Rattus norvegicus: one gene and its partners. The protein of the gene in region 1 interacts with the protein of each later gene in a biochemical or structural test. Links are inferred from orthologs where the notes say so. Each region holds a gene or a part of one and is shown in the gene's direction. Other genes may lie near its edges.

Region 1 (7,038 bases):
TCATGGAGGACCCATTGAGCCTCTGTGGAGCAGTGCTCCATAGTTACACACTGTGTGAGTTTGGGCAGTTCCTCAGTAAGGTCCACTCTGTCTGAGAGAGGAGGCTCTCACAGACGCTGTAGGAGCAAACCTAAGACAGATCTGGGGGCTCAGCAGTGGCTCTGAGATGCTGGCGAACTTCCTTTAAGGCCGTGTTCTTTCTTGTGTATTTCTGTCAGTCACTTTAATTTACATCCAGTTGCTGAATTGCTGAATTTTCTGGCAACTCACAGGAAATTGTTTTGAGATTACAGCAAACCAGAGTTTTAGAAAATTAGAAATGCCAGAAGTGGAGCATCCTGGGTCTTCTTTCTTTTTAAAATACTGTCATAAATATGAGTCCCCTGAATAATCTTTATAGGAACCTCCAAATAAGAAAATTAAAAACTACTGTGAGAACATGAAATAGCACTTTTTTCTACATGTTTTCTGTAGTTGAATGTTCTCAGGAGTTCAGGAATTAATATCATGGTTATTTACATTACAACATTTAAACTTACAAAAGCCCTTACTTAATCTTCCTTTATTCTCATACTGTAATAAGTTGGACTACTGGCCTTGTAGCAGACATGATTTTATCACCTCTCTGGTGCATTCTGCGCTGTTAAAACTGCTGCCTACTGGACTTTTGTCAGTAACGAGGCCTGAACTGTGCAGAGCAGAGTTGGCCGTGATGGTCCGAACACAGCACGTATGCTACGTCTCACGTGTCCCCTTAGGAGTGCCTCAGTGACCCATCCTTCTTGAGTTCTGCGTAGTTACACCTGGTGCATACTTTCCAGATGACTGTTGCATTTGCTCTTGATTTTGTCTGGTTGATCTTTGTATATTGATGTTCTGAATTTTCATTATAAGGCTTTCTGCTTTGTTAGATATCACATTAAGGCTTCGCTCAGTCTGGCCTATTAGGCTTGACAGTCCGTATTTGCTCTTCCATTTAAGCCATTGTTAGTGGTGTCAGCTTTAGATGGCTGGTTAAAACGGGAGATTGCAGTCTGACTGTCAGACTTGTCTCCTGGTGCTTTTACTTGGTTGGTACGCTCTGTGAATTGTTTATGGATGTGTCTAGTTAAATCGTGTACTGATGTACCACCCGCTGTCCCTGTTTGTATACTTTACATTTGTTACTTAACTGTTAAAGTCACTTGTTTCTTCAAACCTTTAATCTATAAGCTTATAGAGTGTCAGCCACCTCCCGAAACACTGGCGTGACAAAAATATACATGGAAAACATTTAAATTATTTCAACTCACAATTTAAGACGTCAACTTCTGTTTTCAGGTTGTCAGTTGTGATGAGTGAGACCTTTAGTAACCTGAAAATACCATCATGCAGACATACGGTGGGAGGAGTGCAAATGGACATCCGAGGGCTAGGATTTAATCCCATCCTTGTTTGGTTTTGGTTTTCTACTCTGCTTCCCTTTTGCATCATGCTAACTTGCCTGTCCACTGTTGTGTGTTAGAGCATGTGACTTACTGTCACAGGCTCAGAGCTCACGGTCAGGTCTGAGGCTCAGGAGACTGGTTTCGGGCTGCTGAGCAGTGCTACAAGTGCTGCTGTAGTGGAGACTGTTGGATGGAGTGCACTGTGGTGTGTGCACTGGCGTCTAGAGCAGGGACAAGGTTCTGTCCTTCAAGGCATGCCCAGTGACCTGTGTCCTCCATCATGGTCTACTTCTTAAAGCGTCCACCACCTCCCAGTACCATTCAGTGTATGAGTCAGTAGGGGACATTTGCGATTTCAAGAGTGTAATATAAAGTAAGCGGTCAAAGCCCCAGACCAAATGCTAACACTTACTGACAGACAGACCCGGAGCCTTAGGGCCGGAAGCTCCTGAACATGCAACAGTCATCCTTAATTGTTGCATCGGTCCTTCTCGGTGTGCTCCGTTAGCAAATGCTGAAACCGTAATCTAGCATTGCCCACACTTCTGGGTTTCTCATTAGTGTGTCAATCATGATAAACTCTGTCAAATACGTTTTAGAATCAGGAGCCCTTGAGTCTAGCAATCTTTTAAATAAAAGCCTTCTAACTCCTGAGGTTCACCATACTTGGATCCTATAACACAAGTTGAATTTCTCTTATTTGAGCTTGTGAACCCAGGAGTGGTTTTTTGGAAAGACTGTAGAATGTTACTTAGTGAGATGTTTTGAGAACGGCCTCTGAATCTCAACAGGAAATGCATTTGTGTTTCACGTATACCTGAAAAATGTAGCCTGACAATATTAAGTTGACACAAAATTTCAGCACACCTATGTCTCCTGTGCTCTTTTTTGCTGATGTTGTTTATTTTTAGCTTAGTTTTCTGTACTTTTTAATTTAAATTTTATTTTGGTATTTGGGTGTTTTCCTACATGTATGCCTGATGGTGGTGAAGGCCAGAGGAGGGCAGTGAGCTCACAGGAGGGCACCTGTGAGCCTCCATGTGGGAACTGGAGTAAGTGACCTTAACCACCAAGCGCCCCTGCCCGTCCTCTCTCCCCTTTGTGTTCCCCTTACCAGTCCTGGATTCGAATAGTCTTTCTGTTTCACCCTCCTAAGCAGCTGGAGAACACATACCATGCATCCCACTTATCTACTGCCTGTTTGGACTGTGACCAGCCTTTCCTATGGTATGATGGAGAACTTACCCATTTGTGATGCCGTGTTCATTCCCAGAATGTTTCAGACCTCAGAGCATTTTGAAGTTTTACTGTATTGTTCACCTCTCTGTGTTCTTGTTTTTGTTTCACAGTATTGTAAAGCAGTGGTTCTCAAACTTCCTAGTGCTACACCTCTTTAACACAGTTCCTCATGTTGTAGTGACCCCAACCATAAAAATATTGTTGTTGCCACTTCATAAGCCGTAATGTAAGCATTATGATTTAGGGCGCATTTTCATTGTTATGTTGACCCGAAGAGATCACACCCCCCAGACTGAGAGCTACTGCTCTAGAGTCGTGTTTCACCAGTCTTTCCTTAGACTTTTGTCCTAGCTTCTTAACATACATATGCATTTGCCAGTAAAAATCCAGAACAAGGAGCACAGTAGTTTTGTATTGGCTATGCCTTGCTTTGATCACTGCCTGCCAACTCTCCTCTTCTACCAACACAAGTTATGTAAGAACAAACTTGGGGGCTATCTGGTTGAAATTAATCAACTGGTTTTTATTTCTTTCTTGCTGTTTACTCACTTGTGAACCTAGAAACCCCCATCCCCCATCCACCCTTTCTCTTTTTATCTCCTTTTCTTCTTCCAAGGCAGAGGTTCACTGTTTATTTCTGACTGGCTTTGCCTCACAGAGATCCCTGTGCTGAAATTAAAGGCATGTACCACCACCCACAGCCTGAACCCAAATTTCACATTCATTCATTCATTCATTCAGTGTGCCTTGGTGTTTTGCCTACATGCCTATGTGAGGGTGTCAAGATCCCTCTGGAACTAGAGTTCCAGACAGTTATGGCCTGCACACCGGGATTAAAGGCATGAACCATCACTGCTCCAACCCAAAATTCTTACAGGGACTTTAGATAGCTAAACCAAGATAGAATCTATCTCTCCAACTTAATTTATCGATGATGATTTAAATATGAGAGCAGTCAACACAATGGAGGTTTCCTTGTAGCCATGCTGCTTTTGAGCTCAGGCTGTGCAGAAAACTAAATATCACCAGGGTTATGAAAAACACCCATTTTTTCTTTGATACTTTGAGTTTTGCAACCTACCCAGTCACTGCCACAAGTACTTGATTCTTGTCATTTTAGCCCCAAACAGCAACAGGCAGTGTTTAATTGGTGGGTGTCGCTGAGCTGCAGTTAGACTTTGTTTATAAAGATAATCGCAGGCTGTTGTCATCATTTGCTTGCCTCTGTGCTGATGAGAGTGATAGACCAGTTAGCTATGGAAGAAGGAAGACCATCAAAAAAGATATATTCATATCTTGAATAAAGTTTTCTCTCTGTTGTTTCAGTCTTCATTTGAAAGATAAGAAGCTATACTTGTTCCTAGTCACAGAGTGGGAGAGCAGAGTTACACGTGGGTAACTTGACACCTGCACCCACCCTTCCCTCCTGTAGCAGCTCTGACCTGTAGATGCGCCCAAAACACTGCCTCAGACTTGAGTTTGATAGGTGGAATTATGAACAGTCACCTGCAGTTTCACTACTCAGTAACCAAGCGTAATCCTTAAGTTCACTTTTCGTCCTCAGTTTACCCAACTGGTGCTGTTCAGAGAACAGGGTGTCACTAGTGCTTTCTCCTCTTTCCTGTTTGGCTCTAGCTCCCTTCTTTCTCTTGACTGACATTGAACTCTTGCCTTTATGCTGCTACACCGGAGACCAGTGGACAAGCTTGTGGGCATGATCTCATCCATATGTTTGAGATATATATATATATATATATATGTGTGTGTGTGTGTGTGTGTGTGTGTGTGTGTGTGTGTGTGTATGTATGTATGTATGTATGTATGTATGTATGTATGTATTAGTGATCTAGACCGTCAGACAAACAAAGCATTTGTGTGGAGGCTACAGTGTTTCCAAGAATACTTAGTTCATTCTTCCTCAGGAGCTGAAGAAACTGAAGCCAAGACATATATATCAGTCAGACATACACATCAGTTGACAGCAGAGCCAGGGCGAGCAGCCTGCTTTCTTGGCTTTTGACTCAGTGCTGTCTTCAAGCAATCTTTCCACAGAGGAGGAAAGATATTGATTTTTTCAGCCTAGAAAATAATAAACATTATGATAAACGAAAAGCTATCATAACACATGTGTAAGCAATGTGATGGATTATAACTATACCCGGATTATAAAGTCTGCTAGATGCATTTGTACAGTTCTGCTCATGCCCAGAAGTAAGTTTGTGTAATTAAAATTGACCATATGAAGCTTTTCTTTAAACATCTGAATAAGAGGTATATAGAGATTTACTCTAACTTGAATACTTAAGATGAGCCTCTAATCTGGTTTTGTCCTTTTCTTCTTTTAAAACCGTACAGAAAGATGAGGTCTACCTTAACCTGGTGCTGGACTATGTTCCGGAAACAGTGTACAGAGTCGCCAGACACTATAGTCGAGCCAAGCAGACACTCCCTGTGATCTATGTCAAGGTATGTGACAATGGGACCCCCTCCAGTTCACAGAAGGGTTGGGATGTGTCAACCCCACTGACACTGGTCACTCCTTGTTAAAACAGCAAGCTCTGGATGGTGCTAAATTGTTACAGTTTTAAAGCATGGAGTTGTTTTAAAGCTTTCATTACTCAGCAGTGGGTAAAGGTGCTTGCTGTGGGAGACTGATAACTGGAGTTTTATTCCTGGACCTACGTGAGGTCGAAGAGAACCAGCCTCATGAAGTTGTCCTCTAATCCTCCACGTGCATATCCCATGTGTGTGCACACACATGCCCATGAGATAAAGGAATTGAATAAATATTCTGATAAAATATGGTAAAGCTTTCAAAGTTAAGGATTTTAACTGTGATAGCCATACACCTTTGGTGTGGTGTGGGGAGGGGAGCACAGGTGAATTCAAGCCAGAGTCAGACTCCTGCTTTCACCTTTACCTTGGGCTGACCTCTTCTTGGGCCCTGTATAAGCTTTTAGTTGGGTTTTGTCTTGGTCTCTCTTCCCACCAGTGGTGGGATGGCAGCCAAGTGCGCCTCGTCCCAACTTCATGCATGGTGCTGGGGAGTCAGGGTGAGGTTTCCGTGTTTGTACAGCAAACTCTTTTACAGCGAGGCGGCTCCCAGCCATAGCATCACTTTCGCTCTCAGTGTTTTCGTGTGCCACACACCACAAATACGTAAGTAAACTCAGTCTCCACAGTTCCCGTGTAGCATTCTATTACTGTTTATTGCATTCCTCATAGACATTTAAACTGCCCGTTTTAAGCAAACAGATTATATTATTTAGGTGTTGGAATCTCATATTAATCCCTCCCCCCCCTTTTTTTTTTCATGTAACTGTAGTTAGGAATTTATCTAGTATTTTTCTAATTGCAGTTGTGGTAGATGATGGGAAACTTTTTTTTTCTTTTTAGGTGAGAGATAGGGAAGGGGTGGATAGTGTATTGCCCTGTAGTTCAGACCACCCTGAAACTTTTGATACTTGTAGCAATCCTCCTGCTTCAGCTTCCTGAGTGCTGAGATTATAAGTGTGAGTTACCAAATCTAGTTAGGAACACATTTTTAATATGTGTGCTGTCAACTAGGTGCTGATTTTTTTTTTCTATTTCTCAGTGACAGCAATATAATTACCTACTTTACCCCACCCCTGACATAGAGCTGATGTGGTGACTGTCATAATGCTGCCACTTTCCACTGAAAGTCATTTAAAGCAGGGGTTAGGAGGGAGCATAGCTGAACTCTCCCCGGGATCCCGAGTAAATCATCGTATGGCCAAACTCTAATGGAGAGGAAGATTACTCATGTGTAAAACTGTGTGGGGTGTACTTCCTGAATGGGTCCAGATTTTTCCCAGCACAGGATTTAGTCCCTCTTTTTGTCCTTCACGGGTTTTCTAGCAGGTTCTAGCATCAGGTTGTGGAGCAGGCAACAATATAGAGATGCCATTCTTTTTTTAATTGAAAAAAATTAGTTAAAGGACAATGTATAAGTGCATAGGGAGTTGGATTTAATTTAATTCCAAAATGCTGACATTAAAGATGTTATGCCTACATTTTTGTCATGGTTCATTTTGAAGAAGGCTTTAACTTGGGTAGTGAGATTTAAATCAAAATTGAACCTGTCTAGCCTTAGCAGTTTTCTCATACCTCTGAAGGAAGTATTTCCTGTTAACATTAGTAATGCCAGTCCCTAGCAGTACAGTCGGAAAAGATGGTGTCTTTATCAGTACTTCTCCTGTTTTTTTAATCAGACAGTAGTAGTTTTGATTTCCATGGTATTAAGTAGGGAGTAGAGCTCAGAGAGTGAGCGTGTGCAACAGATTGGAGGTGATGATGCTGGAGAAGGCAGCACATGTCTATAATCTCAGCACTTTATAGACTAGAGGATGAC
Region 2 (7,720 bases), on another chromosome or scaffold:
AAGTTCAAAGTAATTGAGGATCTGTCCATTCACACTGGCTGGCGGCACGCCAGTGTAGAACCTGGAAAAATCTGAAAAATATTTATCGACTTTTAACCCCTTTTTGGAAGCCGAGTGGACAAGTTTGTCAACAGCGCTGTTTGTCTTGGTTAAACATGGTCTCTGTGTGCTTAGAACAGCATGGTACACATCTCAGAAAAGGATTGCCTTCCAACTTCCGTAGGATCCTACACAGCTGAGCTGGATATTTTCTGTGGGGTTGAAGAGCTAAGGATTTGAGAGAAACGATTACTTATTTAAAAGCGGTGGCCCTACTCCCCGATCTTTATGCCAGAAATTACATTTAAATAAATGCCACCATTTCAAGCAAAAAAAAGTAGATATTCGAGTATTTTTAAAACTGTAAATGGATCAGCTATATGAACCAGACCAAGGTAGGCTCATATATACATCCTTTAAAAAATAGGAAAGTAAAGAGTGACAAGGCCATAAAAATATGTTCTTCAGTGCTTGTCACATGGTTTGGGAGGGTCTTGATTTGCTGCAATTGAAATCTTTGTAAGGGGCAGCATGTCAAAAAGCTATTGTGAAATTTAGAAAGATTCCCATTAAAGTAAAAGGGTCTTATTGCAGTGAAGTATCACGCCCCACTGATGCTCTGGTCTGGATAGGCTTAAAAGTCAATCAAAATAAAGCTAAAGTCCAAGACCTTTAAATTGTATTGAGAGTTAAGAGTTAAAGAAAAGAAATATTGTATTAAGAGTTATTAATACCCCACGCCTTAGTTTGGTTATATTATCAGCATTAAGCATCCAAAGGTCTTGTAAAAAAAAAAAATCACCTCTTTTTAAAAAGTTAAAATCCAACAACAATTCTATGACCTGTTTCCGAGTGATTTGAGCTCATGATCGGGTTTAATCACAGAGAAAATGAGGCCAGGTTTTTAAAGATGAAGGTTGGCAACATGAAATTGTTCACTTAAAACACACACTTATTAAATAACACCCTGGTATCCTGAAAGGCGTCATTGCCCGTTCTCTGAAAGCAGCAATGACAACTGTAAAAATGGATCATTGCAACAGGAAGGAAAAGGGAGAAGAGAAATTGAGTTCACAATATGATTCTATCTTTGCTAAACAAACAAACAAACAAACAAACAAACAGCACGTGAGACTTTCTTCAAACATTCATTTAAGGAGACTCATACCTGTGAGGTACACTTTTTCTCCTAAGAACTTTTTAAAAGATGCTTCACTGTAAAGGGGCAGTGTGCTCTCTGTAGGTACTCTGCTATAATGTGCTGTCAAAAGACGTACGTTGATAGCAATACGACAGGCATTTTTTAAAGTCGCAGTTTATTGTCTCAGCTTCTCAATAAGCCAGATAAAATCATGTACAAGAACATTAAGGATTAAGGAGAGTAGTTTCCTTTAGCGATTACTGGCAAAAATTAAGAACCAAACCAAACAAAACCACTCACTCACCCTCCATTAAAATAACGCAGTAAAAAGGTGGTCATTTAGTTGGCCGTTGCTTTCCTACAAATTTGGATTCCCAGTTTTCAGGGTCGTTGAGTGTCTGTGTATGTTTGTGGCTTCTTTGGTTCCCGTTTCGTAGGAAAAGGTGCCACTGTATTAGGTAGATGGGCCATACTTCTCTTCTGAAAATATTAAAACTCCGTCTCCCCCCCTCCAGAGACTACAGTGCTAGCAAAAATAAGCCAAAGATGTAATGTCTATTTAAATACCCAGTTGAGCTGGCTGTTAGTTCTCAAATTAGATTCCATGCTCCGACTAGAATCAACATGGTTTAAATATTAAAAACTTCATAATTCATATGGCCTACCCCACCTTTCCCCCACATACGGCAGGCGAAGGAAAGTAGAAATGTCTGTGAAAACTTCTAGCTCCTTAAATGCTGTAGGGGGAAATGTGCCCAGGTTGGTATGCAAGGACTTGAAAAAATGCTTGACATTACAGATTTTATTCAGGCCATAAGCGATCTGCTAAAGTATATAGATAGATCTACGGTTGAAAACACAGAAATGAGAGCTGTTTTACATTTGTTACCGCACCGCCCATTGTTTTCCTCTAAAGTACATTTTGTATACTTAAAAAAATACACTCATTGGATAAGACTGGAAACCTCAGCTCCCCCACCTAGCTGCCTTCTGCCTTCAGCTTTCGAGTTTCAGGTCCTTGCACAACACCTAAGACGTGCAATACTTTTTTTCGCCCTAATCCTGGCAGAGAACAGTTCGGAGAGATCTCCCTTCGCGTCTCCACCCTGATTCCCCCCTCTTCCTAGATTCCACCCGCTCCTCTCCTTCCCTCCGCCCCGTGCTCCGCCGGCCCAATCTGTCAGAGAAGTTGTGTACAAACTGCGCCGCAGCCCTGCGCGCGAAGCTCCTGGCCCGCGAGGGGTGCGGTCGGCCCGTCGGAGGCGGGACCTCGTGGGGCTTCTTTTCTATTGGCTAGCCGCTGGCCTTGGGGCATTGCCATTGGCCACAACGCTGCCAGTCGCATGAGCTGGCCCTGCCTCCCTGGAGTTGGGTGAAATAGAGGCGGGCGTCAAGTGTCAGTAGTTGCGGGGCAGGTACGCGCCCTCTTAGCTTGCTGGTGGAGCTTGGAGGTGGCGGGAGCGGTTCCGGCGAGGGAGCGAGCGAGGGAGCGAGCGAGCGCTGGGGCGGGGCGGGAGAAAGTGGCGGTCGGAGTACATCGGCGGTGACGCGTGGCCGAGCCCAGGAGCCCCGATCTTCGTGCCCGCCTTCTTGAGCGTCTGGCTGCCGGCCCAGGGGTCTCCCGCTGCGGCCCCGCGCCGAGTCCTCCGTCCTGTGCCAGCCCGGGCGAGGTGGGAATCGCGATCGCCCCGTGCCCCGCTCCCGTAGTCTCCAGACCGTCCATGCCCACGCGGGTGCTGACCATGAGCGCCCGCCTGGGACCAGTGCCCCAGCCGCCGGCCGCGCAGGACGAGCCAGTGTTCGCGCAGCTCAAGCCGGTGCTGGGCGCTGCGAACCCGGTCCGCGACGCGGCGCTCTTCCCCGGAGACGATCTGAAACACGCGCACCACCACCCGCCTGCGCCGCCGCCAGCCGCCGGCCCGCGACTGCCTTCCGAGGAGCTGGTCCAGGTAAGCCGAGAGTGGCCGGCCTCCCTTCCCCAGCTCGGGCGTGTCCCGCCGCTGCGAGGCGCGGGCGACAGGGGCCGCTCCAGGCTGGGACGCGCGGGAACGGGCGCCCGAGTGGGCAACCCCGCCCTGCGCTGCCAGACGGGGCGCCGCGGAGTGGATGGGGGAGCAGGGCGGGGGCCCACCCCGATCTGTCCAGAGAAGGCTAAAGAGCCGCGCGCTCACGTGCACCTTGTCTTTTCTTGCGTGCGGATGAAGGCTTCTACCCACGCTCAACTTGGCTTAAAATGCTTCTTGACCACTCTTTCCCGATGGCCCTGGCCTTGGAAGTCCACCTGCCTGCGTCCTCTGGGGTGAAATAAAAATGCAGATTGGACTACTGGGGTTTCATATGCCTCCGTGGCTCACCCTAGAATGGATTGTAGGGCCCCGTTTAGGAAACTAGAATTTTAAGGTTGTATTGGAACACCGCTTCTTTTTCCTTAAAAAGAACACGGACAAAAAAAAGGCCAGGGGTGTTGTTTTTCTTGTGCGCGTAAATTTCCTCCCGGAGTCGCGTTGAAAGCTGGCAGTTGGCTTTTACACTTGCCCAGCAGCCGAATTAGAGCAAGCGCCTGTTTCTTTCGCCCACGCACGGGAGTCATATAGCCTAGAAAAAACTTCCCGGGACTTTTAGCTGGTCCCAAGGAAAAAAAAAATTGGAAACAGACCCACATGCAAACAGCTGGAAGAGCTAAAATCAGAAACCACTAACCGCCACGGGAGCGCAGTGCACGAAAGGGTTTAGTTCGGTTTATTTCAAGACACTTAGTTTAATAGCCTCTTGCTGTATTGTGTATTTGCACTCAGCGCCTAATTCTTGGTCTGCCAGTGTGCTTTGAGAGGACAGTGGCATTTTGTCAGATGTGACTCACATGGTCACAGCATGAATCTTTATTTTTAAGTCCTGCATATCCGGGAAATCCCGTCCGTCCTCATCCACATCCAGATCTTGATGATCTGAGGTCCGAGGTGACATTCTTTTGAAAATTAAAAGCAAAAATAAGACTCCTATTCATCGATTAAGGTGCAGGGGTTTTTATGAACCATTTCACGTAGTTGGGGTTTGATCTTTTTTCTAACTTCAATGTCAAAAAAGATGAGAAAAATTAAAGTTTTCATTGTATTAGAAGAGCGCGTCTGATCCGTAGCTGGATTATGTCTGATCTTAAACAATCAGGGCCTGGAAGATATTCGGTTATTTCAGTTTGGTTCTTTCAGGAGATAGCAAGATGACTGCTCTTTTTACAGAGGAAGGGGGAATGTAGCATTGGCCCACGGAGAGGACATGATAAATGTTTTGCTGATGACTGTGTGAGTGCAGCAGCCTCTCCCCACCCACGGGAGTCTTAGCACCCGTCTACCAAGGGAGTGATTTTCTCCTTGATAATTAAAAGATCTGTTTTAGATAGGGACATGAACAGGTCCGTTTCATTATTAATGTAACCAGTTACCGAATCGGCCGGGTAAAATGAACATTTAGATCAAACGTTGAGGGCGCACTTGTTTTGTACGAGTGGATGCAGGCTCCTGCTCCAAATGTTCGTTTTTATTCAGAAAGTTCCGAAATGGGCAAAGCACATTTTTATATTAGTATCCAAAGAAAACCTAACTATGCCCACGGAAGAGCCCTTCGAAATAATTATTTCGAAGAGTTGCAAAAGGTCTTAGTTTTCAAGTGAAGCATGTTTAAGTGTAATGGATGCGGACAGATTTGAGACAGTTTGGCAAAAGTGTGATACCGTGCTTTAAACTGAAGACTTGCCGTTCTCCGACCGGGGTGAGACTTGAATGCATCAGAAAAGAATATGTTTTGACCTCCTCCCCCACCTCTTTCACTTTTTGTCTGGGGATGATTTGGGGGAGTGATTTTACTAAGGACATGTCACAGAGACTTTTGGTTAACCAATAATTACACAACTGACAGAATGAACTTGTGTGTTTATAAGCAACACTTAGGAGTTGGCCCCGGTACTCCTGGAGTTTAGTAGGCCATATTTATTTATCCTTCCTGACTGAATCGGGTAGATTACGTTTTTCATCTTTTCTTTTCTAGACAAGATGTGAAATGGAGAAGTATCTGACACCTCAGCTTCCTCCAGTTCCGATAATTTCAGAGCATAAAAAATACAGACGAGACAGTGCCTCAGTGGTCGACCAGTTCTTCACTGACACTGAAGGCTTACCTTACAGCATCAACATGAACGTCTTCCTCCCTGACATCACGCACCTGAGAACTGGCCTCTACAAATCCCAGAGACCATGCGTAACACAGATCAAGACAGAACCTGTTACCATTTTCAGCCACCAGAGCGAATCCACCGCCCCTCCTCCTCCGGCCCCCACCCAGGCCCTCCCTGAGTTCACCAGTATATTCAGCTCCCACCAGACCACAGCGCCAGAGGTGAACAATATCTTCATCAAACAAGAACTTCCTATACCAGATCTTCATCTCTCGGTCCCTTCCCAGCAGGGCCACCTGTACCAGCTGTTGAATACACCTGATCTAGACATGCCCAGTTCGACAAACCAGACAGCAGTCATGGACACCCTTAATGTCTCTATGGCTGGCCTTAACTCACACCCCTCTGCTGTGCCACAGACGTCCATGAAACAGTTCCAGGGCATGCCTCCTTGCACGTACACCATGCCGAGTCAGTTTCTTCCACAGCAGGCCACCTACTTTCCCCCATCACCACCGAGCTCAGAGCCTGGAAGTCCTGATAGACAAGCTGAGATGCTCCAGAATCTGACCCCACCTCCGTCCTATGCTGCTACAATTGCTTCGAAACTGGCAATTCACAATCCAAATTTACCTGCCACTCTGCCAGTTAATTCGCCAAATATCCAACCTGTCCGATACAACAGAAGGAGTAACCCGGATCTGGAGAAGCGACGCATCCATTTCTGTGATTATGATGGTATGTGGTCTGTGTGCTCTGGAGCATCCGTAGTGTTTTTCGTGTTCCGGGGTGCCCCGGAGTCTCACGTTTGCTCCCTTTTGAACCTTAGCCATGAAAATATATAGGGTGTACTTTTTCTCTTAATATTTTTGTGTTTTATGCTGGTGTATAATGGCTAGCCAGTCATGACAGCTCATGCCTTTAATCCCCGAAATGAGGCTGAGATAGGAAGATGTTCTAACTAGCCTGGGCTACATAGTGAGATCTTAATTAACTCCTACAATTCCCTTTTTTATTTGATTTGTTTATGTAATGACTAGACCATTAATCTAAATGGGGTTTCTTTCTCTTTAGTAGTATTGGATTTCATTTGGTCTAAAACCGTAGCACCAAATTCTAAAGTCTCTGGAGATTAAGTAGGTTGATAGGCAATAGTGCATGTGGTAACTTCTCTTCAGGTTGTAGGGACCCCTTGGCAGGCACAAGGCATCAGGATGAATTTTAAGAATGGTTGGTTCCATTAGTGTGTGCTCGTTCCCCAATGAGATACATGACCCAAAATATAATTGGACGTAATACATCTCCAAGTTGCAGGCATAAGTGAGTTTATGGTTAATGCGGGGCATAATTTATTGACTGCACAATGTGGCATGACATGCTAAATGAAAAAAAAAACACAGGAGTATAGAAAATTATAGTTATCTCAGATATAACACTGTCAGTCCTACATCCATTACATTAAATACACACACACACACACACACACACACACACACACACACACTACGATAGCTCTCCAGTCACTGAAGCCTGCCTTATAGCAAAAAGTACCTACTGGAATATAAACACAGAATTTCCATTTGTTACTGGCTGGATTATCTGTGGTCTTTGCTCCCAAAATGGTCCATAAAGCAGATCACCTCTGCCTCCTAATAAGGTCAGGAGGGCACCTTGAAACTTCCTAACCAAAACTTCCAATATTACATCTAGCACAAGAGATTTCATCTTGAAAGCCAAGTTTTAAACACTGAATCATCGAATGTAAAGATTGCAAAAGGCCCTGGAAATGACAAGTTGTTCTTCCTCTGTTCCCTTTATTTTAGGTTGCACAAAAGTTTATACAAAGTCGTCTCATTTAAAAGCTCACCTGAGGACTCATACGGGTAGGTAATTTTCTTGTTAATTCTGGGAGTTGTGTAAATAGTATAAGTGACATTCATCCTTTTAAAAGCCAAGATGTGTTTGATCTCTTCTTTCTTCTGTCAACTTTTATTTTTTAATGGCCTACCTTTTCAGCAAGGGCTGGGCTCAATTCAGTTCCCCAAGAAACTGATTCCGGGAAGGCTGATGTCTCCTCGGTGAGACCTTGCCCTGTCACCTCACGTAGAATTAATGACCCTCAAAATGTGAACAGCAGTGTTTACTGATGGATTTTAAAACTTTAATGGCAATGCTATTTCTTTCTGTCTTGAAAGAAGGAAAAAAAATCTTGGTAAATCATCTTGCTTCAATAAGGCCCTTTTTTAAGGTAAAAACTTTTCCACTCACCACGTCGAGCACCAGTGCTTAACACATTATCATCAGTTTCACCAGTGGCTTCAAATATTTGTGTTTTAACCTTATTGCTGTTTCTGAAAAGTGGGCCTGAGATT
Region 3 (7,514 bases), on another chromosome or scaffold:
AAAATAACCGGGCTTTCTTTCTTTCTTTTTTTCTTAATAAGTAGCTTATGTTCTGGGGCCAATTGTGATCGATAGCATTTAAAACTCAAACATAACATTGTATACTGTATTCTTTATTATAACCCGCCTAAAGCCCTCATTCCTAGATGAGTGTGATTTGTTCTTTTGATCAGAAAGCCTCCCACTTTAAGAGCAAATGTGGAGAACCCAACTCACTAAAATAGGAGCCGTAGGAAACAAATGATATGATTGGTAGGTTGAAAATGAGGGGTGTGTGTGTGTGTGTGTGTGTGTGTGTGTGTGTGTGTGTGTGTCAGAGACGGAATAAGTAAATAGTGGTCTTCAAATAAGGACACACAGTTATGAAGCTAAAAGGCTCAGAAGTCCCTCGATTAGCTTAAAGCCAACCAATTGTGCTCACTTTCGAGAAAGACTGGAACTTAAGGAACTTACAACAGGTGAGGAAACAATTTAAAACAGGCGAGAATAAACGTTAGCACTAGAGGGATCATTTGAAAATCCGCTAGCATTTTCACTGACAGATTTCTACCATTTTATTTTGTTTTTTAGTGATGGTGATGTGTGGAGGGATGAAAGATAAAACTTTTTAGTATCCTGGCCAGACCTCAAACTTTGTGGTCTTCATCTGAGACAGGAAATAGAGTAAATGACTTGAAAGCTGTAAAAAAGGAAGCAAGTATGTCATTTATCAAGGCTTGTACTGATAGTGTCAGGAAATATCTCTTTAAAGCACTGTAATTGTGTTAGATCCTTCAATCTAAGTGCAACAGAGCAGCAGATGCCAGGACGCAGACCTCGTCCTGAGGGACACGGAATGTGTAGATGTGGGGTCCTATCTCAAGAGAGCAGCAACCCAAGTTTATTTTCTTGGTGTTCTTTTAGTTTTCTTTAAAAAACTTTTGCTGCTTCTATAACTGTCATAGACCAACTATTAGTTAAAAGATGCAGGTGACCCAACAAGAACAAAAAAAATGCAGGTGAGACCAACAATTGAAAGGGGAATAGTAGTTTACATTCAGATATACATCTTGTATTTTTTTCCTACATACATGCTTGTAAAAATTATTTTATAATGGACCCTTTGAATTTTATACGTACTTCAAGCATTTATGAATACAGGAAATCTGTAATTGCTTACTTAACTTAATATCATATTGTTAATGAAATGGATCAGCGTAGTCATTTTAAATGACTACTACATTTGCATAATTTCTACCTTTGGACTTTTAAGTTTACAATTGTTCACTATTATTAACAAGGGGAGCCTTTCCAATATTTGTTTCTCTTTGTGGTTTTAGAGGGGGTTTGGTCTGCTTGTTTCTATTGAGAACATTACTATTGTTTACAACACTATTAGGGCAGAAGGAGCAGAAGGTTTACGCCAATAGATCTTTGTTTTTGACGTCTGTACTGAAAAAACGAAGTGGTTAAGGCAAGATCTCCACTTTCCACTTACTTTGAAGTCTGGAATAGAGAGGTGAGGAATTGGAGGAGACAAAATACCCTCTCACTAAAGTAATCTAGTTTAAGAGAGAAGGGCCAAATGAGTACGTAATAAACCGCTTCTAGAAACTCGTAAGCTAATCACTTTTACTTGTATGCATTAAAAACATCTATCCAACGCATCCGCATTAGTCAGTGATGTAGGAGTAACAGAAAGCCAGGACCAGGCGCTCAGCCTCCTCCCTAGGCTCCGGGTGGAGAAGAAACCCTGTCTGGGGCCTCCGGGCGCTGGCGCGCGCTGGGGAAGAGTCCCGCGCGGGCGAGTGCCCTGCACGCCCGCTTCTGCACTCCTTGCACGTCCGATGCCAGGCAGCCCGAAAGCAAACCTCCGCCCAGCCGCCCGCTCCGGCGGCGAGCAGCTTTGCCTAAGATCAAGCGCGAAGCCGCTTAGCTCAATGGTCAGAGCGTGGGTGGAAAACAAACTTTGTTACGTGTTCACTCGGAGCACCGCGGTTCTGGGAAAGGATCAAAGCCACATTCCTAACTGTGCACCGCGCGCCTCACTCCCCACCCCACCCTCTCTTTTAATAATAATAAAAAATAATGATAATTTTAGCCGATGAGTAACGAAGCGGGCTTTAAAGCCACGCGGGGAGTGCAGCGGGGCGGTCCAGCAGGTGGCCCGCCCGCATCCCGGCCTCCGCCGCGCGCGCCGAGGCCCGAGCCACATCAATGGGAATCCCCCGTGGGAACTGCGCCTCCCACCACGCCTGCGCTCCGACACCCTGCCGGTCTCAGCGCGCCGGGGTCGCAGCCCACCCCGGGTCGGCGCCTGGTTGCTCCGCGCCCGCGGGCGAGCCTCCGTGCCGAGGGGCGGGGGCGCTGTCGCGGGGGGCGGAGGTGGGGGGGGGCGGGAACCGCGCGCGGGGAGGGGAAGGGGTTCTCGCGCGATCGGGCGAGGTTTCCGGTGTTGTGACTGAAACCCGTCAATATGGCGGCGATCGGCCGCGGCCGCTCTCTGAAGAACCTCCGAATACGAGGTAAACCCGCTTGCCGCCCTCGCTCTCCGCACCCGGTGTTCGCTGTCCGCCGCGGCGCTCGGCTTTGCCCGGGGTCTGGGGTGGGGGAAGCAAACTGGGCGTCGGGCGCCGCTGGCCTGCGATGGTTCCTAACTGGGGCTGTGTGTCTGTTTCGCACAGGGCGGAATGACAGCGGCGAGGAGAACGTCCCGCTGGATCTGACCCGAGGTAACGCGGGGCACCGGGGCCGCTGTGCACCGGGGCTGGGGCGGGCAGGCACGCGACCCGCGGGGCAGCGAGGGGCCGAGCCCGCGCCCATCCCCCTGCCCCGCGCCGGTTTCCCCCCGGGTGAGCCCCTCCGGGCCTGGGGCGGCTGCCGGAGCGCGGGAGCGCGGGGCGGACCTAGGTGCACCCAAGGACCGGGGCTGCGCGTACGCCCGCGGGAGCGTGTTTGCACCCCCCGTCCGCTCCCGGGCCCCCGAATCCCGGAGGCGGCCTCGGACGAGGGGAGGTAGAGGTTGTTATTTAGGTTACTGGAGGATGTTTGTGGGAAGAGCGACCACATCCTGCCCTCCCCGTCCCCCGGAGCAGATGCTGGATCTGCCGGCTTCTTGCTGACTGCGTGACTGCTCTTCTCTGCCCGCGCGGTCCTCTGGGGGCCCCGCAGCTTTGCGAACTCGGCGGTGAAATCGAGAGCCGGTGATTACTGCTAAGTGTCTGCTTTATGCCGCGTCTCCCTGCTGCTTCCCGTTCCCGGGCCCGCTGGGGCTGTAGTTGGCTAGAGACCGCCCCCTCACTGCCGCAGGTTCATTGTGTACCTTCTGTCTGCAGTGGAGATGCGTTTGTTTACACCTTCTCTGCAGGGCAAGCCCGGCGTGCATTTTTAAGAACCGTCTCCGCCGAGTGATCGGTGTTTCTTGCTTGGGTCACCGGCCACCAGACTGGTGTTTATTCCACAGTATCTCGCCAAAGCATTAGTAGTTCTGTGCAAGGAGTTCTTTTTTCTCTTCTTCCATAAACAGGAGTTGGACTACAGATTTCGACAGTCACTTCCCACAGCGTTGTAGTTGAGTGTAACTAACTAGTTCTGCTGTGCGGAATCACTTTTCGAGTTCCGTAAAACACCTTAGGATGTGAAAAGAAAAGACACTCGTAAACATTCCACATGGCATAAATTTGTTCCCCCCCCACCTTGTATGTAGTGACCATCGTATAAAGTATAAGGATGGTGGATGTCGGTTTTGGGAGACCCATCTCTGTATTGACAGCATAATTCATTCTCAGTTCTGTTTCCGTTTTTGTAAGAGCCCGGTGTAGATTGAAAGACTATAGTTTTGATTTAGTTAGATGAGTACATGTTTGTTATTTGTTTCTGATAGTTCAGGAAGTTTTGAGTAAACTAGTCCTTTCAAAGTGAGAAACTTTTTTAAGATACAGTACAGTGGTGTGTAAGTTCTAGAAATGGCAATTAGTTAAATCGGTGATTTGGAACTTTTTTTTATTAGCTAGGTTTGAGAAACAGTATAGAAAAAGGTCAAGCTTTTGACTTTTTTTAATTTGTAAATTTAATATATATATATATGAAAAATTTCCAGCAAGCATTCTGAGTATCCTAATACAGATCTGAGACTTAGCATTGTGCTTCTCTCTCTCTTTTTAAAGATTTTTATTTATTTTATGTATGTGAGTACAGTGTTGCTATCTTCAGGCACATCAGAAGAGGGCATCAGATCTCATTACAGATGGTTGTGAGCCACCATGTGGTTGCTGGGAATTGAACTCAGGTCCTCTGGAAGAGCAGACAGTGCTCTTAACTACTGAGCCATCTCTCCAGCCCCAGAATTGTGCTTTTCTAACCATGTAGTTGGTCAGTGATTTCAAGAAATTGTGAGAAGAGACTGCAAGGTAAACCTGAGCCTGGCGTACAGTAAAAGCCTGTTCAGATATGGGGTTGGAGATAAACTGTGTAGTGTGTGATTTTGTTAATCTTTATACATTTCTGTGGTGGTGTCAGAATTTGGGATTGTAGAAAAGCTTATTTGAAACTTGCTTTGCTTAAATATTAACTCAGACAAATCTATGGGTATGATTGAAAAGAATCAGTTCTCTGAGACTGTTTACTTAAACATCTATGTAATAAATATAATATAGATAGCTGTTCCTAGGGTTATAGAAAATGCTTAGAAAATGTTTTCATTTGCCCTGATAAAATGTACTAGCGTTCCAAATACGTATTCATAGCCAGTTGACCTGATTGCAAAAGCAATGCACAACAACGAGAAGTTATTTGAGAACTGTAGGCCTCAACCATAAGGAAGTTTAGCAGAAAAAAGTTACGAGTTAGACTCGTATATAGTGAGACAGCTGATTAGAGAAAGTGTTTGTTTAACAGACACTTCATTGTTTAAAAGCTTGTGGATCACACATGAGGAAAGTTCATGAGGAATTGAACTTTAGTAATGATTTCAGACCCATGAGGCATCTGGGTTGCAGCTGCTTGTAGATTAGATTACAATACGGAAACAGATAAAAGTTTGAGCAGCTAAAGTTTTGTTTTGCTTTATGCTAAGGCAAGGTTTGCTGTCATGCAGATTGTTTTGTGACGTCTACTGTGTAGGTGGACAACCGTGGTCATAGTGATCTGTGAAAGAGACATCCAGGCATATCAGACACTGACTGCGAAGTCAGATAGTTCTGCATTGTAAGCTCAGGGACAATAGTAGCTGGGGGATTTGGGACAAGTTATTTGACCTTGCCTACCTCCTGTTTCTCCACTGAAAAAAACTAATTTTAAAATGTTAGTAAGACTGAAAGGTAAAGGAAGGTAGTTCTTAATTACTCAGTATAAATTATGTTTTATCATTTATAAGCAATATTTGGTGTTAGCTGCTCCTACATTGGGAGGTTGGGATTCTTTGTATTTTAAGAAGTATGTCAGGTGATTGTGGGTGCATGTACATGTGCACGTCCACATGTGTACATGTATGTATGGAAGCCAGAGGATAACCTAGGATGGCAGGAGCAGTACCCTATTGGCCAATACCACTCAGTGGCCCGGACCTTATCAGTTAGGTTGAACCAGCTGTCCAGTAAACTGAGGGATCTGCTTGTCCTTGGCTCCTCAAGGTTGTGATCAAAATGTGTGCCACCACACCTAGCTTTTTCCCATGGCTCTGGGTTTTGAACTCAGGGCCTTACACTTTTGGCAAGCTCTGGCAGAGCATTTCTCTGACTGAGCTATTCCCCAAGCCCCAAATTATTGTTTTGACTGTTACACACGTATTCAAGGACTCGGGCTGAAATGGAGTACTTAGTGGTAACATGTTTTTGCTAGTACCAGCACTTAGGAGGTGAGACAGGACTGGGAGTTGGAGGCCAGCCTGGGCTCCCTGAGACCTGTCTCCAAAAAAAAAAAAAAAAAAAAAAAAAAAAAATTACCAATTAAGATTAACTGAAAGCGGAAAGTAGAGTTTGTTGTATGTACTTAGGGTAAGATGTGATACTACATTTTGTGAGCCTTAGAATTGTTTGTCCTAGCACCAGAAAGTTTTTAGTTATGTTGATTTACTTGTATTCTGGTTCTCCTGGGGCCCAGAAGGGTTTGGGGCCTTTGATTTTAGTACTGGTGTTATTACTGTGGCTCATATAGAATGTTTATTGACAGATTAATTTTGACCTAGGAGCCCAATTAGTAAATCTTAGAGTTAATTTATTAGTAATTCTCGCTTTCAGTTTTGTTCAGAAGCCTACTCTACTTAATTTGCGAAGGTCCTAGTTTGCTTCTGACACCATTAAATACTCTCTATATTTCACACCAAGATGTGCTTTTTAAAAAAGTACAAACACCTAATGCTTCCTTTAGCTACTTCCATAGCAAGCATGCACCTTTTCCTTTCTTTCTTTTTTTCTTTTCTTTTTTTTTTTTAGATAGTGTATCCCTTTCTGGTTCTGTTGACTCAGGTTTGAAAGACACAATAATCTCTCAGTAAGCCCCCGTTAGTATAGTTTTCTAAGTGTCTTCCCAGAAAACGGATACTTCTGTGTACTACATATTTATTAGAATGCAGTTTGTTGGATTAGACTGAAATGTTGATGGTTCAACTTGCTGTGCAGTATTTAGAAAGGCAGGACAGTTATCTGAAATAGTGTGAATTGAACATTTTTTTTGTTTTCTAATTTCCCTTAGTTGGGAGGTTACTCATTTGTTTAATTGCTCACATCAGTTAACCAAACATTGACAGAAATCTATTATGTATCAGAAACTGAATTAGATGCTGGAAGAGTAGGAATGAGAAAGATGTTCCTTTTAAAGTTGATTGGAGCTGACAAGAGAAGTGATTGTGGTATGAAACAGTAAGTAATAGGACAGAATTACCGAGGCAGCAGCCAGAGGAGAATGTGATCGTCTGGTGCATTGGTGATCAGAGAAGCCTCTGAAAGGTCTAGCCTTCCTTAAACGCTGTGGCTCTGTGGAAGGGCTCTGCAGAATAAAGCACGGTGGAAAGGGAAAGTCAGTGGATAGAGGACCTGTGTAGAAGTTCTCTCCTATCATCAGAGAAATGATGAAGGATTAGACCAGGGGTTTAGCTACAGGAGTGGAATCAAAGATATTTTAGAAGGAGGACATCAGCTGGCTTGCTTTCTCCCACTGAAAACCAACTTTTAAGTTTTGCTAACTTCTCTGTCTGTCTCTCACTTTGGAGACAGTCTTGATGTGTTCCTAGCTGGCTGGGTAGTGACTGTAGCTCAGGTTGGAATAATCTTGCTTTGGCCTCAGTGCTGAGATTACAAGCAAGTGCTTGCACACCCAGCTTCCTTCTTTGCTTTATGAAGGAGGTGAAGGCTGAGAGATCAGAATTCTGAATTCCTTTTTTTTTTTTTTTGTTCTTTTTTTTTCGGAGCTGGGGACCGAACCCAGGGCCTTGCGCTTCCTAGGTAAGCACTCTACCACTGAGCTAAATCCCCAGCCCCCAGAATTCTGAATTCCTAATTAAGTTTCCTCTTGCTGGAGTCAGGGTGTAAAGCAGCTTC
Region 4 (7,633 bases), about 18 Mb from region 1:
TTAGGTAACATACTTTCTCTCCGGCTAATTAAGCTTTTTTTTTTTCTGTCACTAACATCTCCCAATAAGCAACATTGTGTTGCTTTCCTATGACTCGCATATTCTAAGAGGTTTGGAAGGGCTGGCCATGTCTACTAATTATGTGTGTTGGAGGGAGTTCCCACACCAAATTACTGATGTCTAGTTGCCATCTATATGGCGGTCAAAACACTTCAGTGTACCAGGGACTCAGGATTTCCTCAGTCCAGGACTCAGGATGTTCAAAGATAAAACTGGGACAGAACTGAGTGAGCAAGACGGTCTACATCCCTTTCTGCCCTCCTGCAGGGTGCACATTCCTTGGGGGGAGTTGAATAACTAGCAAGCCAGGCACAACTTCACACTATACCTGTAACTACTGACCCCTGTAGACTGGAGACACTCTCTGGGCAGTGCTTTCTCAGAATAGGAAAGAAAATCCCTTACCACAGACCCTCTGGCCTCCATATACACCATAGATACGTCTGGTTCCTACTCCACAGTACAGAAAACCTCCACATTAAAAATGACTTCATAGGCTGGGCATGGTGGCCCACATCTTTAGTCCCACCAGTTGAGAGGCAGAGTCTGGTGGGTCTCCATGGGTTGGAGGCTAGCCTGGTATAGTCAGTGACTAATACCACAGCAGGAAGGGATATAGAGTGAGACCTTATCGCAAAAAAAAACAAAAAACAAAAAACAAAAAAGAAAAAAAAAAACCAAACAAACAACCTCTGTCATAAAGTCTATGACATAGACTCTGGGAATTGGTGCAGGCACATTGCATCACACTGATCTCTAGGGGGCAGTGTTACCTAATTTCACAAGCCCCTGAACTCCACATCCAGCATTTCTGGGAGCCCTGTGTGTGCCCGTGTAAGAATTCCCACAAGTGCACATTTTTCTTTTTCATGAAGATCTGTAGCGCAACCAATCAATCACGCAGAACGTACATGTATACATTCTTTTATTTTGGTCGTGTTTGCCTACCCGTTTGATCAGTTGTCGCGAGGCCTCACTGCAGATCTCACTTCCTCCTGTCTCAGTCGGTGGTGGAAATATACACCCTTGGGTGACCTGTACTACATTGATTTAATTGAAATTTTTTTACTAACCTTTTCCCTCTTTGTACCGACGTTTTCAAAAGCAAATGTTGTTCTCACAGCACCCTCCTTAACTGAGCGAAGAAAGAAATAACAGGTTTCTGAGTTCCATGAGGAATCTAAACTGTAGAAACACAAACTAACCACTCTCTGTGGGGAGAGAGGGCATCTGGGGGAGGTGGGTGGAAGCAACAGAGGGAGTTGCTGAAACCTGCAGGCTGTGGGATTAGCAGAGGTTCTGGTGCTGAATGGGCACAGATTGCTTACAGGAATTTTTTGGCTTGACAGAATTACGCCCAGGCTGTGTGCCATTGCTTCCTCAGCCTTAAGCTTGATTTATAAACTGCGGCCACAGCTTCTTTTCCCGAAACCTGTTGCTCTGCTTCAGCGTCCAGCCTGAAAAGCTTGCTTACTACGCCCCAATCCTACAGTTTACTGCTGCTCTTAGATCCAGCCTCTTCTGTGATAACGCTTGTGGAACTAGGGAGTCAGATGAGCCCCAGCACCAGTCTTTCCACTCACTAGTTGGGCGTGCTTCCTTGGTCTGATTTAAATGTTTAAGAAATGCCCGTGCTTTAGGTCGTATTTCCAGAACGGGAGGAGGGAGGGGACACGGAGGAGGGAAGGGACACGACCTAGCCCATAATCCGCGGGTGCTCCGTAAAATTAACCGCTTGGGGTTGGGGATTTAGCTCAGTGGTAGAGCGCTTGCCTAGCAATCACAAGGCCCTGGGTTCGGTCCTCAGCTCCGAAAAAAAAAAAAAAAATTAACCGCTTGCCTCCACGTTCAGTATTTGGGCAGATCGTGGGTTCCCTCCCAAAGACGACAGATCCCCTTAGATGACTAGAATTGCAAGTGGAGAGCTACATTTAATTTTTAGATTTATGTGGAAGAGTGTTTTGCCAGCTTGTATGTATTCCACAGGCATGTGTCCAGTTGAAAGTGAGTTGGACACCACAGAATTGCAATTGTGCATAGTTGCTTGCCACCACGTGAGCGCTGGGCGCCGAAGTTGGATTCTCTGCAAGAGCAGTAAGTGCCCTTAACCGATGAGCGATTTCTCCAGCTCTGGGCAGGGAAGCTGCAGACTCCTGCCGGGCGATCACAAGCCTACTCAGCTCGCTGCCATCTTAGCTTGCCTAACTCAGCAGCACTCGCTGACCGAGTTTGACAACGGTGGGATCTCACCCCTCCGTGGTAAGTGCACCACCCAGTACCGCCAACTCCTACAAAACTAGCACGGTCTGCCACGCCCCGGCTCTGGCCTTGCACGGGGGTGGGTGGGGCCTGCTAGTATACACATGCGCACTCCTTCCTCTTTCTCTCCTTGCAATCACACCTTCGCGTTTTGACTGCGAGTCCTTTTTGTCCCCTACTGCGTGCGGTGTGGCTTCCCGGCGGACGTGCTGACTGCGAAGCAAAATGGCAGCCACTGCGGCGGTTCCCAGCGCTGTAGGCGGCCGAGCGAACAAACGCGGCGGCGGCTCCGGCGGCGGTGGAACCCAAGGTGCGGAGGAGGAGCCGCCGCCGCCCCTCCAGGCAGTTTTAGTGGCCGATAGCTTCGACCGCCGCTTCTTCCCCATCTCCAAGGACCAGCCTCGGGTGAGGACCCGGCACGCGAGCAACCTGCGGGCCTGGAGGGTAGCAGGGCTACAAGTTGCCACTGCAGCTTGCTAGTGAAGCGTGTTCTGAAAGTTACCATAAAGTTGAGTTTTTCTGGTTGAGAGAAAGTGGAGGGACTGACTGAAACCCCGGTGGCTGTCCGTCCAGATGAGTAGCTAGCAAATATGGATTCTCGCAGGGCTGTCTGCCCAGCCTTGAGAAGGATTGAGAGGGCTGTGTATAGAATCAGTGTTTGAGGGGGTTGGGGATTTAACTCAGTGGTAGAGCGCTTGCCTAGCAAGCGCAAGGCCCTGGGTTCGGTCCCCAGCTCCGAAAAAAAGAAAAGGAAAAAAAAAAATCAGTGTTTGAAAGAAGCCTTCCCAGGGGGATTTAGTAGCGCAAGGGGGCCTCCATTGCCTCTAACCTTGCAGGACATGGGCAATTTAAAAAATGCTTCAAAAAGCGATGGTAATATATACCTAAAGGGAAAAAGGCTAGATCTCGGCCTGGTACGGGCTCTTTTCCTCCCATCTGCTGCAAGGGGAACCGAGTGGGTTCCCCTCAGCCTTGGAACTACCTAGACATAGGACATTGGTATTGGGCTTGCAGACTGCTCGGTCCCTCAGCAAACAGGGATTTGCCTTTTACTTAAGAATTCCTAAGGCTAACGACTGTTCACTTTTGACAAGTGTTTGAATGATTTCTGTGACTCAGTGTCAATAGGAGGAAATTCTATGAGAAGAAGGTCTTAGTGCTTAGAGTTATAGAGCTATGATTTAGGGCCAACATTTGTCCTTAATGTCAGCCCTGGTTTCCTATAACATATTCTGTGTCTGATACCATGTCTACTAGGCCCAAATCTTAGACTGAACCTTTGGGCCTATTTGCTTTAGAATAAAAGGGTAAAGCAAACTGTAGTGTCTGCAAGCCCCGATGAAAGGCACATTGTTGCAGTGGGGTACCTGAAGTATAATAATGGCTTGAAGACCTCAGACTTTTTCATATCCTGCCCTATAGGTCCTATTGCCCCTGGCCAATGTCGCGCTGATCGACTATACTCTGGAATTCTTGACTGCCACGGGTGTACAGGAAACATTTGTCTTTTGCTGCTGGAAGGCTGCTCAGATCAAAGAACACTTACAGTAAGGCTCGGGAATTTTTCCTTTCCATGCTTCACCGTCTTTTTTCCAGTCCTTCCAGCATGGGTTTGACGAGGTAGAGACATGAGGAAAACTGCATCTGTTCTGAGCTCGTGTATGATTTAGTGTTTTCTTCACGTGTCCTGAGAGAAGCTGCTGGAGCTTTCTTTGCCTTGAGGTTTCAGTGATGGAAATCGAAAGGCTTGGCTATGATTTTCTGAGTCTTTCAAAGTTCGTTCCAGTGAGTTTTGCTTTTTATGTTCCAGTGGGTATGTTATTGGAAGAGCATCTTTATTTTCCCACTGAATTTCTAAACACTGTCTGTTCTGACCCCCCAGTGACAGGAACAAGTTCTTTCCCCTTGTCTCCCCCACTGCCCTCCTTAGTTTCAAGCCCACTGTAAGTTCTTAAGAGATGCTTGTTAAAATTTGGAAGAGCTAGTCTGGGAATTTATGAGTTTTGGAAGTAAAGACTAGTATACTGAACATGTTTTCCATGTTACCGTGCTTAAAGTTGATACAGACTCAGAACAAGAAAGATGACTTGAAAAAAAAAATGTGTTCCCAGAATACTTTCATAGCCTAGATTTCATAGGATTTTAAATTCAAACTCACATTTCAAGACGGGAGTCAAGGTATAGAAAGGAAATGGTCATACTTCTCAAACACATAAAACTAATGACACTGGAAGCCGAAACCATTTATTATGGTTCACGCGTCTCTTTGAAGCCAGAGACGCTGGCAGGAAGCCAGAGAAGCCACAGAGGAGTATAAATGCTGAATGGAGGTTAGAGGTCAGGTCTGTGATAGTCTGTTTACTTTATAGTTCCTCATCACTTTCCCACAGGAAATCCAAATGGTGCCATCCTACGTCCCTCAATGTTGTTCGAATAATCACATCAGACCTGTACCGATCACTAGGAGATGTCCTCCGTGATGTCGATGCCAAGGCCTTGGTGCGCTCTGATTTCCTCCTGATATATGGAGATGTCGTCTCAAATATCAATATTTCCAAAGCCCTGGAGGAACACAGGTCAGGTGGGGAAGACGGCAGGGACAAGACTTAGGGACCAGTTGAGTCCTAAGACTAACTCTGCCCCTCCTTCTTTATAGGTTAAGAAGGAAGCTAGAAAAAAATGTGTCTGTCATGACAATGGTGTTCAAAGAGTCCTCACCCAGTCACCCTACACGCTGCCATGAGGACAATGTGGTGCTAGCTGTGGATAGCACCACAAACAGGATTCTTCACTTCCAGAAGACCCAAGGCCTCCGCCATTTCTCCTTTCCTTTGGTAACTGGGTGTCTGGGGAACTCAGGTAGAAGAGGGAGGAGCTTCGAGAGGAGAGATGAGCTAAAGCCTTTGTAACTTCTCCCCTCAGGGCCTATTCCAGGGCAGTCTAGACGGAGTGGAGATTCGATATGACTTGTTGGATTGTCACATCAGCATCTGCTCTCCTCAGGTGAACTCTTCAGAACAGAGCTGCATAGCCAAAGAGCAAAACTCTAGGGGTCTGTTCCCTTTCAAGTCCAGGGGATGCATCTTTCCCCTCTTTTTCTGGTTTGTTGTACAGTAGAGAAGCACAATTACTTCATTCCCAGTATATTGGGAACCAAATCTAGGGTTTGTCCTACAGCCAGTTACTATGGCTTTGATAGCTCTCTGGACGTTGTTACTGTAAAGCACCTACCCTTAGCATAGTGTGTTTTCTCCACAGGTAGCTCAGCTCTTCACAGACAACTTTGACTACCAAACTCGAGATGATTTTGTGCGAGGCCTGCTAGTGAATGAGGAGGTGAGGAAAGCTCCCAAAACGTCTAGAGGAGAGGGTTTGTCTTGCTCTGGTAACCTTGGGTTCCCTTTTGCGTTTCATTAAGCCTGAGACAGCTGGGAGCAACGATCCATAAAGAAAGCTCAGGCCATTTGATGGTGTCATCGAGCGGCAGAGAGGCACTGAGAGGCTTAGAAGGGTGTATACTTGGGGAGTGTCTTCCTGCCTTGCTTGATTGGGTAATCGTCCCTTCTCATTCAGATCCTAGGAAATCAGATTCACTTGCATGTGACAAGTAGGGAATATGGTGCCCGGGTCTCCAACCTACACATGTACTCAGCTGTCTGTGCTGACGTCATCCGCCGATGGGTCTACCCTCTTACTCCAGAAGTCAACTTCACTGACAGCAGTACACAAAGCTACACTCATTCCCGACACAACATCTACCGAGGGCCTGAAGTCAGCCTGGGCCACGGCAGCGTCCTGGAGGAAAACGTGCTTCTGGGAGCTGGCACTGTCGTTGGCAGCAACTGCTCCATCACCAACAGTGTCATTGGCCCTAACTGCCACATTGGTGAGCACAGGTGGGGACCCAGCAGTGGCCCTAAAGTGTGGGGGCTGCAGTGTGTCTCCAGAAGCTAGGGAGGAGGCCGAGGGATAGTCCTTATGATTAGGAAGCTGAGTGGCTATCGTAAGGAAGGAGCAGAGAGACAGGGAGGTGGTCCACGTGTGTTGCTCTTGCGGGGGACTCAGTCTCTGTTCCCAGTATTCATCAGGTAGCTTGCAACTCAAGTACAGGAGGATCCAGTGACCTCTTCTGACCTTGGGCACTGGCGCGTCCATGTGTGCACACAAGCACTCACACACATAGAGTTAAATTGACAAGAGTCCTGTGCTTGCTGGTGGACACATTTCCATTTGGTTTTGATCAGCTGGCCTTGAGCCCAGAGAGATCCAAGTGCTGAGATTAAAGGCATGAGCCACCACACCCAGTGTTGCCCACACTTGGAGTCCCGACACCTGGGAGATGGAGGCAGGAGGATTACAAGTTTGAGACCATCCTGGAAATGTTTATCGATTTTCTTAAATAGAACAGGCAGGAGGGCAGGACGTTAGGAAGTTAGTTGGCTACAGTTGTGCATAATCCCATCTACTGTGGAGGATAGATTGGTCAGGGCTTTGTGGCCAGCTTGGGTTTTTTGAAACTGAGTTTCTCTATCTGGTCCTGGCTATACTGAAACTCTGTAGACCAGGCTGGCCTTGAACTAACAGATCTGCCTGAGTGCTGGGATTAGAAGTGAGCACCACCACAGCTCTGCCTAGCCTGTGTATGACTCTTACAGTGACTCTTCATATTCTGGAATGTCCTCTCTGTGTTCACATTTAGAGGCAAGTGCAGGGTTAGTGTGTACTAATGACCTTTGTTCAGTTATTACAGCTTACAAAAGGCTTTTGCATGTGTTACTTCCCTTGCCCCAGTAACGTCTAATGTAAGGCAGTGCTGGGACCTAAATGCTGGTTGTGGGCTCTCTGTGTTCTTCTTTTTTAAAATAATGTATTTATTATTGTTTTACGGACATTGGTGTTCTGCCTGCATTTCTGTGTGAGGGTGTTGGGTCCCCTGGAACTGAACCTACAGACAGTTGAGAGCTGCCATGTGGGTACTGGGAATTGAACCTGCATCCTTTGGAAGGACAGCCAGTGCTCTTAACCACTGAGCCATGTCTCCAGCTCTCCATGTTCTTTTTGCTTTCCCATCACCATGGTATTCCTCTTGACAACTCACTTTATTTGAAAACTATGAGATTACTAATAGTATTAGACCTTTAAAAGGACAACGGCAGGATTCAGATTCTATAGTGTACAGAGTAACTGGAGTCTCCTTGCAGGCACAGACATGACTGTAATAAGGTTTATAGTTCATTCTGAGAATTCCTGAGGGCCATATATATAGTGTAGAATTATTGTTAACTTAATATGGTCAATTTGCTCTTGGGACTGA

What was found. The genes of interacting proteins can lie anywhere in the genome.
Region 2: of the proteins of Gsk3b (region 1) and Klf5, one has a biochemical effect on the other in vitro, tested with the Homo sapiens proteins (2 studies listed by BioGRID). The link is inferred for Rattus norvegicus from reciprocal best matches to the Homo sapiens genes GSK3B and KLF5.
Region 3: of the proteins of Gsk3b (region 1) and Rictor, one has a biochemical effect on the other in vitro, tested with the Homo sapiens proteins (2 studies listed by BioGRID). The link is inferred for Rattus norvegicus from reciprocal best matches to the Homo sapiens genes GSK3B and RICTOR.
Region 4: of the proteins of Gsk3b (region 1) and Eif2b5, one has a biochemical effect on the other in vitro, tested with the Homo sapiens proteins (2 studies listed by BioGRID and IntAct). The link is inferred for Rattus norvegicus from reciprocal best matches to the Homo sapiens genes GSK3B and EIF2B5.

Annotation. Positions count from the first base shown.
Region 1 is NC_086029.1:76,061,436-76,068,473, reverse strand, and holds part of Gsk3b (glycogen synthase kinase-3 beta), read left to right. Parts: intron 1-5,021; coding exon 5,022-5,132; intron 5,133-7,038. UniProt on the Homo sapiens protein: Constitutively active protein kinase that acts as a negative regulator in the hormonal control of glucose homeostasis, Wnt signaling and regulation of transcription factors and microtubules, by phosphorylating and inactivating glycogen synthase (GYS1 or GYS2), EIF2B, CTNNB1/beta-catenin, APC, AXIN1, DPYSL2/CRMP2, JUN, NFATC1/NFATC, MAPT/TAU and MACF1.
Region 2 is NC_086033.1:82,469,486-82,477,205, forward strand, and holds the start of Klf5 (Krueppel-like factor 5), read left to right. Parts: upstream 1-2,595; 5' UTR 2,596-2,901; coding exon 2,902-3,129; intron 3,130-5,221; coding exon 5,222-6,086; intron 6,087-7,171; coding exon 7,172-7,231; intron 7,232-7,720. UniProt on the Homo sapiens protein: Transcription factor that binds to GC box promoter elements. Activates the transcription of these genes.
Region 3 is NC_086020.1:57,536,890-57,544,403, forward strand, and holds the start of Rictor (rapamycin-insensitive companion of mTOR), read left to right. Parts: upstream 1-2,389; 5' UTR 2,390-2,455; coding exon 2,456-2,504; intron 2,505-2,663; coding exon 2,664-2,711; intron 2,712-7,514. UniProt on the Homo sapiens protein: Component of the mechanistic target of rapamycin complex 2 (mTORC2), which transduces signals from growth factors to pathways involved in proliferation, cytoskeletal organization, lipogenesis and anabolic output.
Region 4 is NC_086029.1:93,903,676-93,911,308, reverse strand, and holds the start of Eif2b5 (translation initiation factor eIF2B subunit epsilon), read left to right. Parts: upstream 1-2,508; 5' UTR 2,509-2,544; coding exon 2,545-2,724; intron 2,725-3,741; coding exon 3,742-3,866; intron 3,867-4,709; coding exon 4,710-4,895; intron 4,896-4,975; coding exon 4,976-5,153; intron 5,154-5,241; coding exon 5,242-5,322; intron 5,323-5,577; coding exon 5,578-5,655; intron 5,656-5,892; coding exon 5,893-6,205; coding exon of another isoform or gene 6,206-6,215; intron 6,216-7,633. UniProt on the Homo sapiens protein: Acts as a component of the translation initiation factor 2B (eIF2B) complex, which catalyzes the exchange of GDP for GTP on eukaryotic initiation factor 2 (eIF2) gamma subunit.